Cricetulus griseus: one gene and its partner. The protein of the gene in region 2 interacts with the protein of the main gene of each other region in a pairwise test. Links are inferred from orthologs where the notes say so. Each region holds a gene or a part of one and is shown on either strand. Other genes may lie near its edges. The genes, in order: Gcsh and Nmi.

What was found.
Region 1: the proteins of Nmi (region 2) and Gcsh interact in binary tests that used the Homo sapiens proteins (3 or more experiments, as listed by UniProt). The two-hybrid records come from large-scale screens. The link is inferred for Cricetulus griseus from reciprocal best matches to the Homo sapiens genes NMI and GCSH.

The regions. Positions count from the first base shown.
Region 1 is NC_048596.1:193,602,020-193,609,466, forward strand, and holds the start of Gcsh (glycine cleavage system H protein, mitochondrial), read right to left. Parts: upstream 4,946-7,447; 5' UTR 4,856-4,945; coding exon 4,717-4,855; intron 619-4,716; coding exon 539-618; intron 1-538. UniProt on the Homo sapiens protein: The glycine cleavage system catalyzes the degradation of glycine. The H protein (GCSH) shuttles the methylamine group of glycine from the P protein (GLDC) to the T protein (GCST).
Region 2 is NC_048599.1:122,379,305-122,386,251, forward strand, and holds part of Nmi (N-myc-interactor), read left to right. Parts: intron 1-818; 5' UTR 819-840; coding exon 841-909; intron 910-2,095; coding exon 2,096-2,191; intron 2,192-4,725; coding exon 4,726-4,888; intron 4,889-6,947. UniProt on the Homo sapiens protein: Acts as a signaling pathway regulator involved in innate immune system response.

The DNA of each region.
Region 1 (7,447 bases), on a different chromosome or scaffold from region 2:
CCTCCAGTTGAAACCACTGGCCATGCTACTGCTTTGCTTTTGTTCTTTTAAAATATATCTCAGTATGAGGAGAGCAAAATAGGGTTATTAATAAAGACCAGCTAAATAAAAGGTCTCTTCTTTGTGTCAGCAGTGTTTATCTGTGTTTAAAATCTTTGATCATGTAGGTTCTCACATATCTACAGTGGCAACCCACCCCAGCCCTTGGTCTTGCTCTTAACTGTTCAACATGAAATATTTCTTAAATAATATTCCCTGCTTTTAAGTACTGTTGTTTAAGAAAAAAAAAATCTTGCCCAGGTTGGTCTCAGACTCATAATCTCCTGCCTTGGCCTGAGGGTGTTTGTGCCAACATGCCAAACACAGTGTCTCTTTAAACATTTAACACCATATGATACTCTAACTAATTTACATTTTACATATTTTACTTTTGATTGCTCCCTGAGGGTCTCCAAAGAACTATACCACTTCATAAGGTAGAGATAATCCAAACTACTTGAGAGCAGACTGTTATAAACACTTCAAGACAATCCAATACCTGTGCAAAATTGCTGATTCCCACTGTTCCAATACCATTCTCTGTGGTTATCCATTCATGTTTCTCTGTGAATTTACGCACTAAAACAGAAGACCAGTATTTCAGAAAAGCAGCAGTGTCACTTCTTCAACAGCCCTTCAAACACCATTTCTGTCAAAAGGTAAGACTTCCCCAGGACTGAGATTGACTTACTGATAATTACTTTGCAGTAGTATGTCCAGTAAAGAACAACAATGTGTAAAGATGGGGCAGTTTTAAAACACATTTTTGTGTAGCCACAGATGCACTGAGATAAATGTTGTAAAAAAATTGGTTTTATGTATGTGAGGGTTTTGTCTGCATGTGTATATATGCACTACATGTATGCAGGCTTCATGGAGGCTAGAAGTGATGTCAGATCTCCTGAAATTGGAGTTAAAGATGGTGGTACTGGGACCCAAAGCCAGGACCTCTGGAACAGCAACCAGTGCTCTTAACCACAGAACCATCTCTCAGCCCCAAGAACATGTATCTTAAATGGAACACCTTGTACATCCCTGGGCTTATCTGTTTTAACATCAGTCTAAATCACTCAAAATTTCAGAGCATATTTCCTGAATTCATTCTATAACTATAGAATGTTCAAGGTCTGCCTTGAACAAAGAACTTTATTCTTTTGAAGACAGGTTTGGGGTAATGGATTTGGGGAGGCAGCACAAAGAAAGTGATGCATACCAAGAAGTATACAGCTGACTCATCTAAATACCTGGGCTGAGCTGGGAAGATTGCAAATTCAAGGCCAATCTGCAAAGTTTAACTGCACACAATGGCATATGCCTGTAACTCAGCCCTTAGGAGGTTGCAGCAGGAGGATCATGAGTTCAAGACTATTAAGATTGCCTGAAGAGATGACTCAGCAGTTAAGAGCACTGGCTACTCATCCAAAGGAACTTGGTTCAACACCCAGCATTCACACAATGGCTCATAACCATCCTTAACTCCAGTCTCAAAGGAACTGACTTCTTGTGGCCTCTACAGGCACTGCATGTACATGATACACAGATATAACTGCAGGCAAAATACCTGTACATATAAAAAGAATAAAGTAACATTAAGATGATATCAAACAGAAAACAACTTTTGAAGGACTGGGGATGTAGCTCAGTAGATGTTGACTTGTCTACCATGGGGGCTCTGGTTCATTCCACTAATGGGGGAGGGGGATAGATTTACACAGGGCACAGTGACCTATAACTGAAATATTCAGAAGGCCAAAGCAGGAGATCTGTTGAGTATGAGAGTTTAAGGGAGCTTGGGCAACACAAGACACTGTCTCAAAAGAAAAAAAAAATTTGAGGCTGGAAAGATGGCTCAGCAGTTAGAAGCATGTGTTCCTCTTTTTTTTTTTTAATTTATTTTTATTTTATATGCATTGGTGTTTTCCTGCATGCTTTATCTGTGTGAAGATGTTAGAACTCCTTGAACTGGAGCTACAGACAGTTGTGAGCTGCCATGTGGGTGCTGGGAATTGAACCCAGGTCCTCTGGAAGAGCAGCCAGTGCTCTTAACTGATGAGCCATCTCTCCAGCCCTGCATGTGCTCTTCTTGCAGAGGACCTGGGTTCAGTTTCCAGCACTTACATGGTGGCTCACAACTACCTACAACTACAGTTTCAGTAAATCTCATGGTCCTCTTCTGACCTCCAAGGGTATCAGGCACCAATGTGCACAGACATACACTCAGGCACAACACCTATAACATAAATCCTTAAGATATAAAAACCAGCCAGGCAGTGGTGGCGCATGCCTTTAATCCCAGCACTCAGGAGGCAGATACAGGGGGATCTCTGTGAGTTTGAGGCCAGCCTGGTCTACAGAGTAAGTTCCAGGACAGATTCTAAAGCTACAGAGAAACCCTGTCTCAAAAAACTAAAAAGATATAAAAACCAAACGATGTAACCTAAAAAAGGCAATGTGGCTCTTAAGGTAGAGTTGGCTCAGGATACTGCAATTTAGTTCTAAGGACTGAGATGGACTTCCTACAATTGTAACTTGGCCAAGTTCTTAAAATTCTTCTTTCATTTAAGCCTGTCCTAGAAGAAAATGGCTCCCGTTGTTTAAAGAAGATAACTGGGGCCTGGAGCTCAGTGGAAGAGTGCTTGTCAAAGCCTTTGCTTCAGTTCCCAATACTACTAAAAACTAAAGGAAAAGAAATTTGGGTCAAAGATGATGTATAGCTATGTGTCTGCAGTACTCAACTTTCATTCTCTTAAAAGTCTAGAGTTCACTGATTACATTACCAATCACGAGCAGCTCAAAACCATAGTGTCTGACTATAAGGGGCGGACAGTTACAAATATGTATCACCCTGCTAATGTTGACTGTCTACACTTTGGCCTCTACTTTGCAGCTGTCGGTTGAGCCAGCAGCATTCTCAGCTCAGCATACCTAGGTCCACTTGACCTCAAAGTCCATTATCATCCTTTAGACCAGTCAAGCTACCTAGGCTAACCACAGTGTGATTCCAGTTCTCCATTAACCCTTGACCTGACTCAAAAAAAAGCAGATTAGGTAAATAATTACTTTCTTGCTAAGCCTTGAAAAACATGGTTTGAGGACTGGGAAAGTGGCTTAGTTGGTAGGGTACTTGCCTATTACTGAGGTAGCTCTGGGATCAGGCCCTAGCACTGCATAAACTGAGTGTGGTGGTGCTTGTCTTTAGTCCCAGCAATGTCAGGAGGATCAGAAGTTCAAGGTCATTCTTGGGCTACACAGGAGTCTTCCAACTAAACTGAGATCATGCCTCAGGGAGCAGAAATAAAACCCACCATGGTTTGAGGCCTCAGAAAAACTGAGCTGTAAATGAGGGAAACCCTTCCAATTCTCAAACACAAATCTATTTTATCTAATATGGCTCAGTGTTATGTGTACATTTGGTTATGAAATACACAGTAATATTTAATAACACTATTCAGTGACAGGACCTTCATTCATTTCTTCCTCCCAGTAACTCTGAGGTAGCTACTTCCTCCACTGTTCTAATGCAGGACACTGGGGTTCTGAGAAGTTGAGAGACTGGGCCCAAGACCACACAGTTGTGAGAGGAAGAACCAGGATTGTGAGCTTTTCCAAGTGAAGGGCCTGCACCCTGCAAAATAAGTGTGCACAATTCTGCCAGTTACAAGAGGGTAAAAATGAAAACCCGAGTAGTTAGGCAGACCATGGGAATTGATATTTTGGGCAATATTTAACTAACAACCTGGAACTCAATGTAGCTCAAGCTGGTCTGGAACTCAGTGATCCTCCACCTCAGGAGTGCTGACATCGTTACAGGTGGGAGCCACTCACCATACCTGGTCTGAAATGGAGTTATCTGAGCAGTGCTCTTCCCTTGTATTCTAGTCAGCAACACACCTCTGTGTTGCTGTGTCACAAACAATAGAAAAATTTTAGCAAGAAAGAAGCAAACTTTGCACTCCACACTGAGGAATAACGTGATCAACATTTTGAATTCGCACAGATTTCTGACCCAAAAGACTTGCTGAGAGCAGTCGTTCAGATTTGTGCTGTCTGAATAGGGATCGTACAAAGGGCAGCTAGGGTCTCCACTATTTGCACATAAAGAAAGAAAACTGTTTCCCAGCTAACTATGCGAAGGCGTATAATGGGCATGTCTCCCAGTTATTTCCAGTCCGTCAAATTAGGCTCTTTTCAGCCCCAGTACACATCAGTGACTCAATTACAGACGTTATCAGAACTTCTCTGAAGTCTAGAACACTTTCCCTTGCTTTCTGTAGTTCACAGCAACGCCATGCTTGGCTTTGCGGGGGGTGGGGGGGTAGTAAAAAGCTTTTATTTCTGCATTTTGACTTTTCTTTCATTTATCTGTGCGTGCACTCAGTGCTAAATTTTAGTAGGTGCTTCTGCCTAACAGTTCCCTGTTATGATTCATTTAGTTAAGCACTCCACATTTGGGGTCTCCGTGCACCCACATGTAAGTCACTCCTGCAAGAGTGGTCGGGTTATCTGCAGGTCCAACGGGCCTTCCCTCCTAGCTCCACCCCGGGGGCAAAGTTTGCTCGTGTCCTCTCGAGGGAGGGAGAAGGGCCGCAGAACCAGGATCCCAAGAGCAAGAAGAAGCGCGGACAGAGCTACAGCTCACTCGTCTCCGGGAGGCTGGACCACGTGCCCCTCACTTACCCGACTGGACAGCCGATCCAGTGCTCAGCGCGCGGACGGCGGCGGCGCTCGGCACCCAGGGCCCCGGTGGGCAGGAGGCCACGGCGGTGCGCAGACTGCAGGCCACGGCCCACGCGCTCCTAGCCACTCGCAGCGACATGATCAGAGTTGCTGGAGTAACCGCACTGCGCCTCCGCCACCGGGCGGGCGCTAACCGGGCGGGCCAGAGTAAGCGGAGCCCGGGGCCCGGGGCGGAGCTCGGGCAAGATGCTCTCTGATTGGACAGCTCGAAGGTTCCACTTCAGATAGGACAAGGCGCGCGAGGGGGTGTGCGCTTGTTGAGGAGCCGAGGCCCGGATGGGGCTGTGTGCGGGGCGCGGAATGGCTGGGCGGAGAGGGGCGGGGCCTCGCCGAAGGGCGGAGCCTCGCGCCTAGAGTGGGATCTTGTGAAAGCAAGCACTGGGTCGGCAATCTGTGCATTCCTCAGTGGCCAGAGAAAGAACCCAGCAAGGATGTCTTTGCTGGGCTAACGCAGTCTCATGCCATTAAGTCAAAAAGTCCTAGGGAAGACGAGGTCCCGCCAGGCCCAGTAAAGCACAGCCACGCCCATCTGCACAAGGTCACCCGCAAGGGGATTCATTTCATCTGAAGATCAGTGGTAGGCATCTGACAAAGTCATTCTGACACAGATCGTATAAGTTTTTAAATGCTGAAAACAACCCAGGAAGCCACTTTATTACTTTACAGATGCCAAGAGGGCCAGAGACTCTTAAACCCAAGGGAAATAGAGAATAACACAATTTATGCGGGCCTTGTACTACCTTTGATCACAGCACCCTGGAGATGGAGACAGGAGAATCAGGAGTTTTCAGCCCATTCATTGCTCCTTAGCAGCCATGGGAATGAACCTGGGTCCTCTGCACTAGCAGGAGCAGTGAGTACTCTTAACCACTGTCTCATTTCCCAACCCCGTAAGATTTTTTGTTTGTTTGTTGTTTTGTTTTTTTAGAGAAACGTTGTTTAATGGTAAGGCTTAGCACACTCCAGCACCAGCACAGGCATGGAGTCGAAGCAGCAGGGATGGCTGGCTGGCCCCATGGAGCTTCATGTGGCTAAGAGGATGAGGAAGGTGACCATCAAACAAAAGAGCCCCATGGCCTCAGACAGGGCAAAGCCCAGAATGGCATAGAAGAGCTGTTGCTTGAGAGACGGGTTCCTGGCAAAGCCACTAATCAAACTACCAAACACTGTTCCAATGCCAGCCCCTGATCCAACCACACCAACTGTGGCAGCCCCAGCACCAACCAATAAACTTAGCAGCTGTGTCAATGTCCTAGGAAACAACACTGGTCTGGAATTCCCATCTGGCCATCTGGAGAGAGGAGCGGCTGCAGGAAGGCTGTTTAGATGGGGCCTCTGGTCTACTCAAGAGGGAGGCAGGCAAACTCCTGATTAGACCTGTGGTATTGGAGCTGATCAGAACTGGAGTAACGAGCAGTGCCTTGATGGTCTGCATTTTTCAATTTCCCAGCTGTAGCCCTTAGTCTCAGCCCCATAAGAAGATTTTTAATATACAGCAAGAAAGTAGGTGTTGTCCATCTCAGGGTTGATAATCCAGTCAGAGACCCCCATTCCTTACTGGGCACAACTTGGCTTCTCTAAACTCTTTACTATCAAGGGAAATGGATTGTCATTACCAAGACAAAACAGGATTTACTTGGAGGTGGCTGCAGAAGTCCTGCAAGAGAAGGGGGACAGGGCTCCCTGAAAAAGGGTCAGTTTTCCCTTAGCAAAGAGGAGAGCATGGGGTGGGTTTGGGGTAGGGAATCCACAGGGTGTCTACAGTGGATCAGGAAAGAGGGGGACAAGACATGCTTAGAAGCTGTGTTAGATCCTTAGCCTGGGCTGCTGGTGGGGTGGGGGTAAGAGTTAGACAAACTCCTTTTGTTAGACCCCCGAAAACTCAAGTATCCGGGGTCCCAGGTCATGTTCGAGGTCACCCCAATCACCAGGCGGATTCGAGAGCTTGATGCAAACTGCACGAGGCTTTATTGTAATTTAACGAGCTAACCCCATGTTAGCTCGGGTCTTTCACCCACCCGCCATGGCGGACGGCTAGCAAAGACGGCTCCTAGGGTCTCCCAAAAGATCTTATAAGGCAGCGTAAGGGGAGTGTCTAGGGGTACGCACAGGCTCACGATTGGTGTGCCTCCAGGCTTGGAGGGCTTGCCCTGTGTTGATTGGTCAACTGGTTGTTATGGCCCATAGGCCCTCCCAGGGTGGTTGCTATGCTCTCTACGTCATTGCTGTGCGCTTGTCCGTAAAGCACACCCAGGGTCGTAAAGCATAGCGCCACCAGCTAACTTCTGATTGGCTCCTTGTCACGAGACAGGCATCTGACCTCTAAGTGACCAAGGCAGGTTTATGGCAAGCACGTGTTCGGCTGTTATGGCTGCCAAAAGGGAAGCTGGTTCCTTCACTTTGTGGGGCAGACAGGAAGAGGGGCCATGACTAGGTAACAAAGGTGGTAAGCTTCCATGATAAGCCCCTTTTTTTCCTCACCCTCCTGACCTGAGACAAAAGCCTGGCAACTTAAAACAAAGGCCTTGTGGACTTTTCTCCTACCAGCATGCCATGCTCCCCTTGCACCACCCCACTCACTCACCCATCCCCCATCCCCCCAACCCTGTCCTCGTCCCTGCACCCATGGGGTGGCTCAATAAATTCAAGGCCACATCAGGATGCTTTTATA
Region 2 (6,947 bases):
GTTCCCTCTTTAACTCAGTCCTTCTGGATTAAGTTGAGTTTTCGTGAACAATGTAGGATGTTGTCCATATTTTATTCATTTATTATTATTATTTTTTTTGTGTGTGTGCATGTGTGTACATACTTGGGCATGTACCTGTGGAGCTTAGAGATGGAAGTCTGGTATCCTCTTCTACTTTGCTGAGTCAGGGTCTCTCACTGGACCTGCATCTTCCTGATTGGCCAGGTTGGGTGACATCATCACACCTTGTTTTCTATGTGGGAGGCCAGGATGGAAGGTACCAGTACTTACCCAGTAGGCACTTTCCCCCTGAGCCATCTCCCCAGCCTCTATGTCCATATTTTAAAGACAGACAATCAGCATCCTGAATTGGGTTTGCAGCCTCAAATCTCTACGATCTTGCTCTTGCTATTCACACTATGCTCTCGATTCTCTGTCTCCTGCTATTCTCTCCTCTCTCACAGATAGCCCTGGCTATGTCCAGTCTGCTGACCGTGTTCAGTCTACTTCCTCTCTCTGCTCTGGACTCTTCCAGATGCCTCTAGATGTTTTCTCTTGTTCATAATAAAGACCTTAACCATACCATGGAGCAGTCATGTTGGCAGGTCCTTTAATGAGCCTCGCTCCTGCTCCTATGCAATTAGGGAAGTGAAATTCTTCAAAATACAGACGATGTTTGGCTGTAAGTCACATGACAAGACTTAGATGATAGAAAAAAAAACAATACAAAGCAAAGAAGGCATGTTTCTTGCACAAAAGGGTAAAATCTGTATTTTCTTTTTTTTTCCTTGAATTTGTGTTGTATATGGTTGTAAAAGCACCCCCTTTTACTAGAAAATCATGGATGCTGATACTGACAACAAAAAGCACTCACCAGAGAAAGAAGTTATGAAAACTGAACAAAATGAGGTAAAATTATTAGTAGATGCTGTTAAGAATGATTTGTGCCTTTTTTTGTTTGTTTGTTTGAGATAGGGTTTCTCTGTGTAACAGTTCTGGCTATCATGGAACTTATTTTGTAGACCAGGCTGGCCTTGAATTCACTGAGATCTGACTTCCTCTGCCTCCCAAGTGCTGGGATTAAAGGCATGTGCCACCACTGCCCGGCTGTGCCTGTTCATTTTTAAGTAACATGCACTTTTTGTCTGTGCTAAATATTACCTTGGCATTGTAAGGCTTTGGGGCTTTTCTAAAGATCCTTACATTTGTTGTATTGTAAAACTTTATACTAAGAGTTGTGTTCCAATGTGTTTTCTTAAAAAATTAAGTGTTTTCTCACCTTCTTTTTTGGGTTTATAGCAGCAAGTGAAATGTGAGCAATTACCTAATGAGACCCAAGTGGGAACAGAGGCCCAGGTGCTCAGAGATGTTAGCAAGGCATATGTTTCGTTGTCAAAGCAGTTGACTACTCTTGGAATCATTGCTAATAAACAGAGAAAAAAAAAAACCACCAATAACCCCACCTAAAAATAAAACAAACAAATAGAAAACAACAACAACAACAACAAAACCAATAAAAAACTGCCTCAGTGTAATGTGTCCACAATTACAGTGCAATTGAAAGTCATATTATAGTTACAGATAGCTTAGAAAGGAGAATTTAACTAAGTCCAGGAGGTCTGAGTCTCTCACTCCTTGCCTTAATTGTAAAATATTCTGTATCTAATGTGGAAGACAACACTTTCTTTGATCATGTAATAGAGCTAAAGAATCTTGGTAGGATTAGGAGAACTGCCAGGGCCTGGAGAGATGACTCAGCAGTTAAGAGCACTGCCTGTTCTTTCAGAGGACCTGGGTTCAATTCCCAGCATCTACATAGTGGCTTACAACTGTCTGTAACTCCAGGAGATATTAGCCTTTTACGCAGACATATATTTGGGAAAACACCAATGCATATGAAATAAAAAAAAGTCATTAAAAAAAAGGCGAAGAGCCATCGGGCAATGAAGTAAGTGCACTCTGAAAGTAGGCATATTTATTCTGAGGCTGTCCTAAGGCTTCCTAGGTTTGGGGTGGGGGAATTTGCATCTTTAATTAATCTAGAAAAGGCATCTTGAAGGTGGTTAATTTTTTTCTATTATTTGGTGTTTTTTAGGGATTAATTCATGAAATTATGAGGGAAAACTTGCACCTGGAACAGGAGATCAAAAAGCTTGAAGCAGAGTTATGTTCGGACGCCAGAGAATTCCAAGTACTGTGATTATTTTATGTATATTTTAATGGACATGTACTTTTCAGAAAAATGATTTAGTTATACATGATTAACTCTAAAGCATTATAGTCACTTATAACACCAGTATTCATTTTTGTTTTTGAGAGCAGCTCTTGCTGGTCTTGAGCTCATTATGTAGGCCATACTGACCTCAAGTTCATAGAGATCTACCTGCCTCCATCTCCTGTGTACCGGCTTTAGAGGAGTGCACTGCCATGCCCAGCTTGGGCTACTGTTTGTAATAGCCCCAAATGGAGAAAAATCCAAGTGTTCTTCCATAGTCGAATGAATGATAAATTACTGTGTAGCTGTACAATTAAATTCTACACCAAAACAAGAACAATTATATACAACATGCATGAATGTAACAAATATGACATCGATACATAAAAATCAATGAAGGGCATTCTGTATGTTCCTATTTGAATAAAGCATGTTCTGAGTTATATAGTGGTTCACACGGGAGGCAGGCCTCCCTTGAGAAACCAGGACTTCAATGATAAGTGAGGTAAGTTTCAAGCTGTGTATCAACATTTGTTGATATTGATGATTTTAAACAGGTAACTACAACTACTCACTTTTTCCCTGGTAGGTTACAATTCTTGTTGATAGTGTTTTCTTCATTGTTGTATAAATTTAAATTATGAAAATGATTAAAAAGATGATAGGTAGGTCAAATGTGGTGACATCAGTAATTTCAGCACTGAAGAGGCTGGTGTAGGAGAATCTTGAGTTCAAGGACAGCCTGACTAAAAACAAAACAAAAATCAAACAAACAAAAAACCCACTAACGTTCTTGGGAGATTTGGGTGAAATTGGAATTTAATGCTGTCAGTTTTCATATCATGTAGCCTCAGTAGTCTTAGGGGAAAAAAAGAAGCTATCTGGTTTTGTCATAAAAAACAAACAAACAAACAAACAAACCAAAATCACTCGTGGTAGAGAGTTCTTGGTCCTAGATGGGACAGCTATATTACCGGATCCAGGCTCAAGCAACATTGGTGAACACAGGATGGGAAAAATGTAAGAGGATAGGCATATGAGCAGTAAACAGATGTCTTCTGGAAGATGCGATGGGATATAGCTGTCTGTATGAACTTGGACCTGCCAACATTTCACCATCTATGGGGGAAGGGCCCATGAGGCTTCATCCCTCCCTGAGAATATATTGACTGTTAATGGCCGCTGGGGGAGGGGAAGTCATTTTCCCTCCTGGTGTGGCCACTGAGAAGTTGTCTCCTCCATTAAGAAACCCCCCCCACCCGTGGATGGGGTGGGGGGTAGGTTGGAGGTGGGGGAGAAGGAATGGGGGTAAGGGGAGGGAAAGGGAGAGGGAGAGGGGAATTACATGTGAAACAAGCCTGTTCCCTAACTTGAATTAATAATAATAAAAAGAGAGAGAGAAAAAAAGCCAAAACAAAGCATTATGAAAAAAAAAACAAAACAAACAAACAAAACAAAACAAAAGAACCCCCCCACCCATGCTCAGGCAGGAAACTAATCAGACACCATGGGTCACACACAAGATGTGAAAGGAAGGATAGTTATGTTAAAGAAAAGATTTCGTCAGTAGAGGCAAGTGAAATGAGAGAGGGGGAATAAGGATGAAAATTACTAAAATTCATTGACTTATGCATGAAACTGTGAATGAATAAAAGAAAGCTCAGCATACACAGCTTGAAACTTACCTCACTTATCATGCATCCTTGCCATGAAACTAAACATAATTTCTAATAATTTCTTCCTGAGTTTGTGCATTACTGGCACAGTTACTTAAAAGGCACTGGAGACAGATTTTTCTTTGGGCTGCCAACACACACACACACACACACACACACACACACACACACACACACACACACAAAACCACGGAGACATTATTAATTATGAAAGGTTGGCTTATAGCTTAGGCTTGTCCTACTAGCTCTTATAACTTAAATTAACCATTTATATTAATCTACGTTTTGCCTCGTGGCTTTTACCTGTCTCCCATCTTGTACCTCCTGTTTCCTCTCTGTGTCCTCTGGCATCTCTCTCACACCTAGATTCATCCCCTTCTCTTCTTTCTCTGCCAGGAAGTCCTACTTAACCTCTTTTTGCCCAGCAATAGGTCATTCAGCTCTTTATTAAACCAATCAGAAGGCACCTTGGCAAAGACACATCTTTACAGCATACAAAAAGATTGTTCCACAACAAGGCACTGATTTACATAAATGGTGGGGATTTGGAATTGGATACCGAACAATATTGATCAGCTTAAACATGGGTTAGGGAAAGTGAGCTGATTTTATACTTATGATTTCATCTATAAAATGATATTAAAAGATCAGCAGTTGATTACCTTACTGAGAAACTGCCTGTGAAGAAGCAATTTCTATAGATGGTAAGCAAGAGTACAGTCAATGTACTTAAAGCTCTATAGTCAGTGGAGATCGAATAATTGGATGACTAGATTGGGAGGACTTAAGTTATTTCTTGTCTTGATTTTAATCAAACACATCTGTTTTAATTAGATTAAAGAGAATATACCAGAAAGAAATCTTAAATTCATCTCAGTGGAGAGTTCGGAGCATGATGACCGGTTCTCAAATAGTTGCTGTTCATTTCAAGTGAGCTCACAAATTTCTTATGAGATCCAGAAGGGACAAGCACTTATCACCTTTGAGAAGGAAGAAGGTATGATCTTAAAAACATGATTGTCACTTTTGCAAGCACCTGGACTTTCAAAGATCTTCTGGAGTTGTCTGGCTGCCACTTTACAATCTGTGTTTGCTGTTTCTTCTTGTCCTCATGGTGGTGTTCTGAGGCAGATGTGACTGATAGTCTCAATTTACAGAGAAGGAAACCAGGCATTAAGTATATTAGATATGTTAGGTCTATTGCCTACAATATATAGTGATGTAATATCTATAATGTATAATATTATATATACAATGATGTGGAGTACTGACAATGCTATGTGCGCGATGATATTAAAGGATCCATGTTTATCACACATTCAAAAAGTAATGGCTCAGGAAATGTAAGAGTTGCGATGTCCAATGTCAGCTTCTTTTTAGTACCTATGTCCCTTAAAATAAACATATTGTGACATTATAATAACATAAAGAAATAAAACTTCCAGAGCGAGTGCCAGGATAGGCTCCAAAGCTATGCAGAGAAACCCTGTCTTGAAAAACCAAAAAAAAAAGTAGAATTTGCTAGGTATGGTGGTGCACAGCTTTAATCATAGTGTTCAGGAAGCAGGAGCAGAACTATCTCCATGAGTTTAAGGCTACTGTGGTCTACATAGTTTCAGGCCAGCCAGAACTACATAGTGAGACCTTATCTCAAAAAAAAAAAAAAAAAAGAATGAATAAAGTGTTAGAAGTAAAAAAAGTAGCAGACTTTACTTCTCCGGGTGTTCTCTGGGACATCTAGTTTCATACTTACACAATTCTGTAATTTTGTGTATTTGATTGGTAAGGAAACAGATTCTGAGGATAGTTAAGTGATTTAGTAAATTAATTACTCTGTTATTGGATTGAGTCCAGGAATAGAAAGGTTTGGGATGGGACCAGATGTTGGCCAAGTCCAAAACTGTATGAGCCCTTCAGGGCTTGGCTCCTTTGTGAGGACGATTTGAGGGCCAGCTTTGTCTCCTCTGGAAGGCATGATCTGAGTTCTTTGTAAGCCTCAGATTTTTGTGACAGGCTTTGTGATAATTCCAACTTCATAAGCTGTTTGTGTATTAAATGACAGCTGTGCATTGAATGCACACAATCAACATACCTGTGTCAGCTGCTATGGTTGCTGTTTGTGTGAGGGGTTTCCCAGACAAGGAAACAGAAGCCTAGAGAAGAGTTTCCTTTGCTGAACTCCAGAGCTGACAGGGTCCCCTAAGTGCCTGTGCGTGTCCTCCTGGACCAACGTTCCTGAGGGCAGGCTTTGGTTCTGGCAACGAAATGCTACAGGATGGGTCAACATGGTCTTCAGGACCATTTCAGGCTTCTTGAGTCTTAGAACCTGTGATTTTATCTGTGTCTTCTGGCATCTGGCCCATCACACTGGCCACAGTTGAGGGAAGTCTTGCTGGCAATGGGCAGTTAGACTGGCATGTCACTGGGAGCAGGTTTCTATGTGGCAGTCACTGCATAGCAGTCACCTGGACTTTCTGGGATTAGGAGTTACTTCAGAAGCAGCCTTAATGTTGCTTGTTCCCTTGAGTCTGAAGTCCCCACACCAGGACGCAGCTCCAGGGGAACAGAAGTAAACAGGATTTACTTTGACAGTCATAGCAACTACAGTTGGGATACAAGTGGGCCCCTCTCTGTTGAGTCAGATCACCAGATGTTAGGGGCTTGGGGATAATGAGAGGATCATCTGAGTATTACTTCATTGATGTTTTCTGTTACCATCATCTGTTGCCATTAGCAAAAGAAAACAAAACAAAAGCATCTAAATTCTAGGGTCATTTTGTGGTACAGTGAGCCTGAATTCCCACCCAACAACGCCCTGCCTTCCAGCTTTGTTTCTTCCTCAGCCTGTGGTGTGCTCCCTGGTTGTCATAAACACACACGGGTTTGTAAGAGGGGAAACAAGCATCTCTTATCTTCATAATAAATTAGAATAAGTGGCTTCACAAAGCAACAGCTGGAGTATTATAAACTCAGCACACAGTAAAGGAGAAACTCCTCGCTGGGCAGTGGTGGTGCACGCCTTTAATCCCAGAACTCAGGAGGAAGAGGCGGGTGGA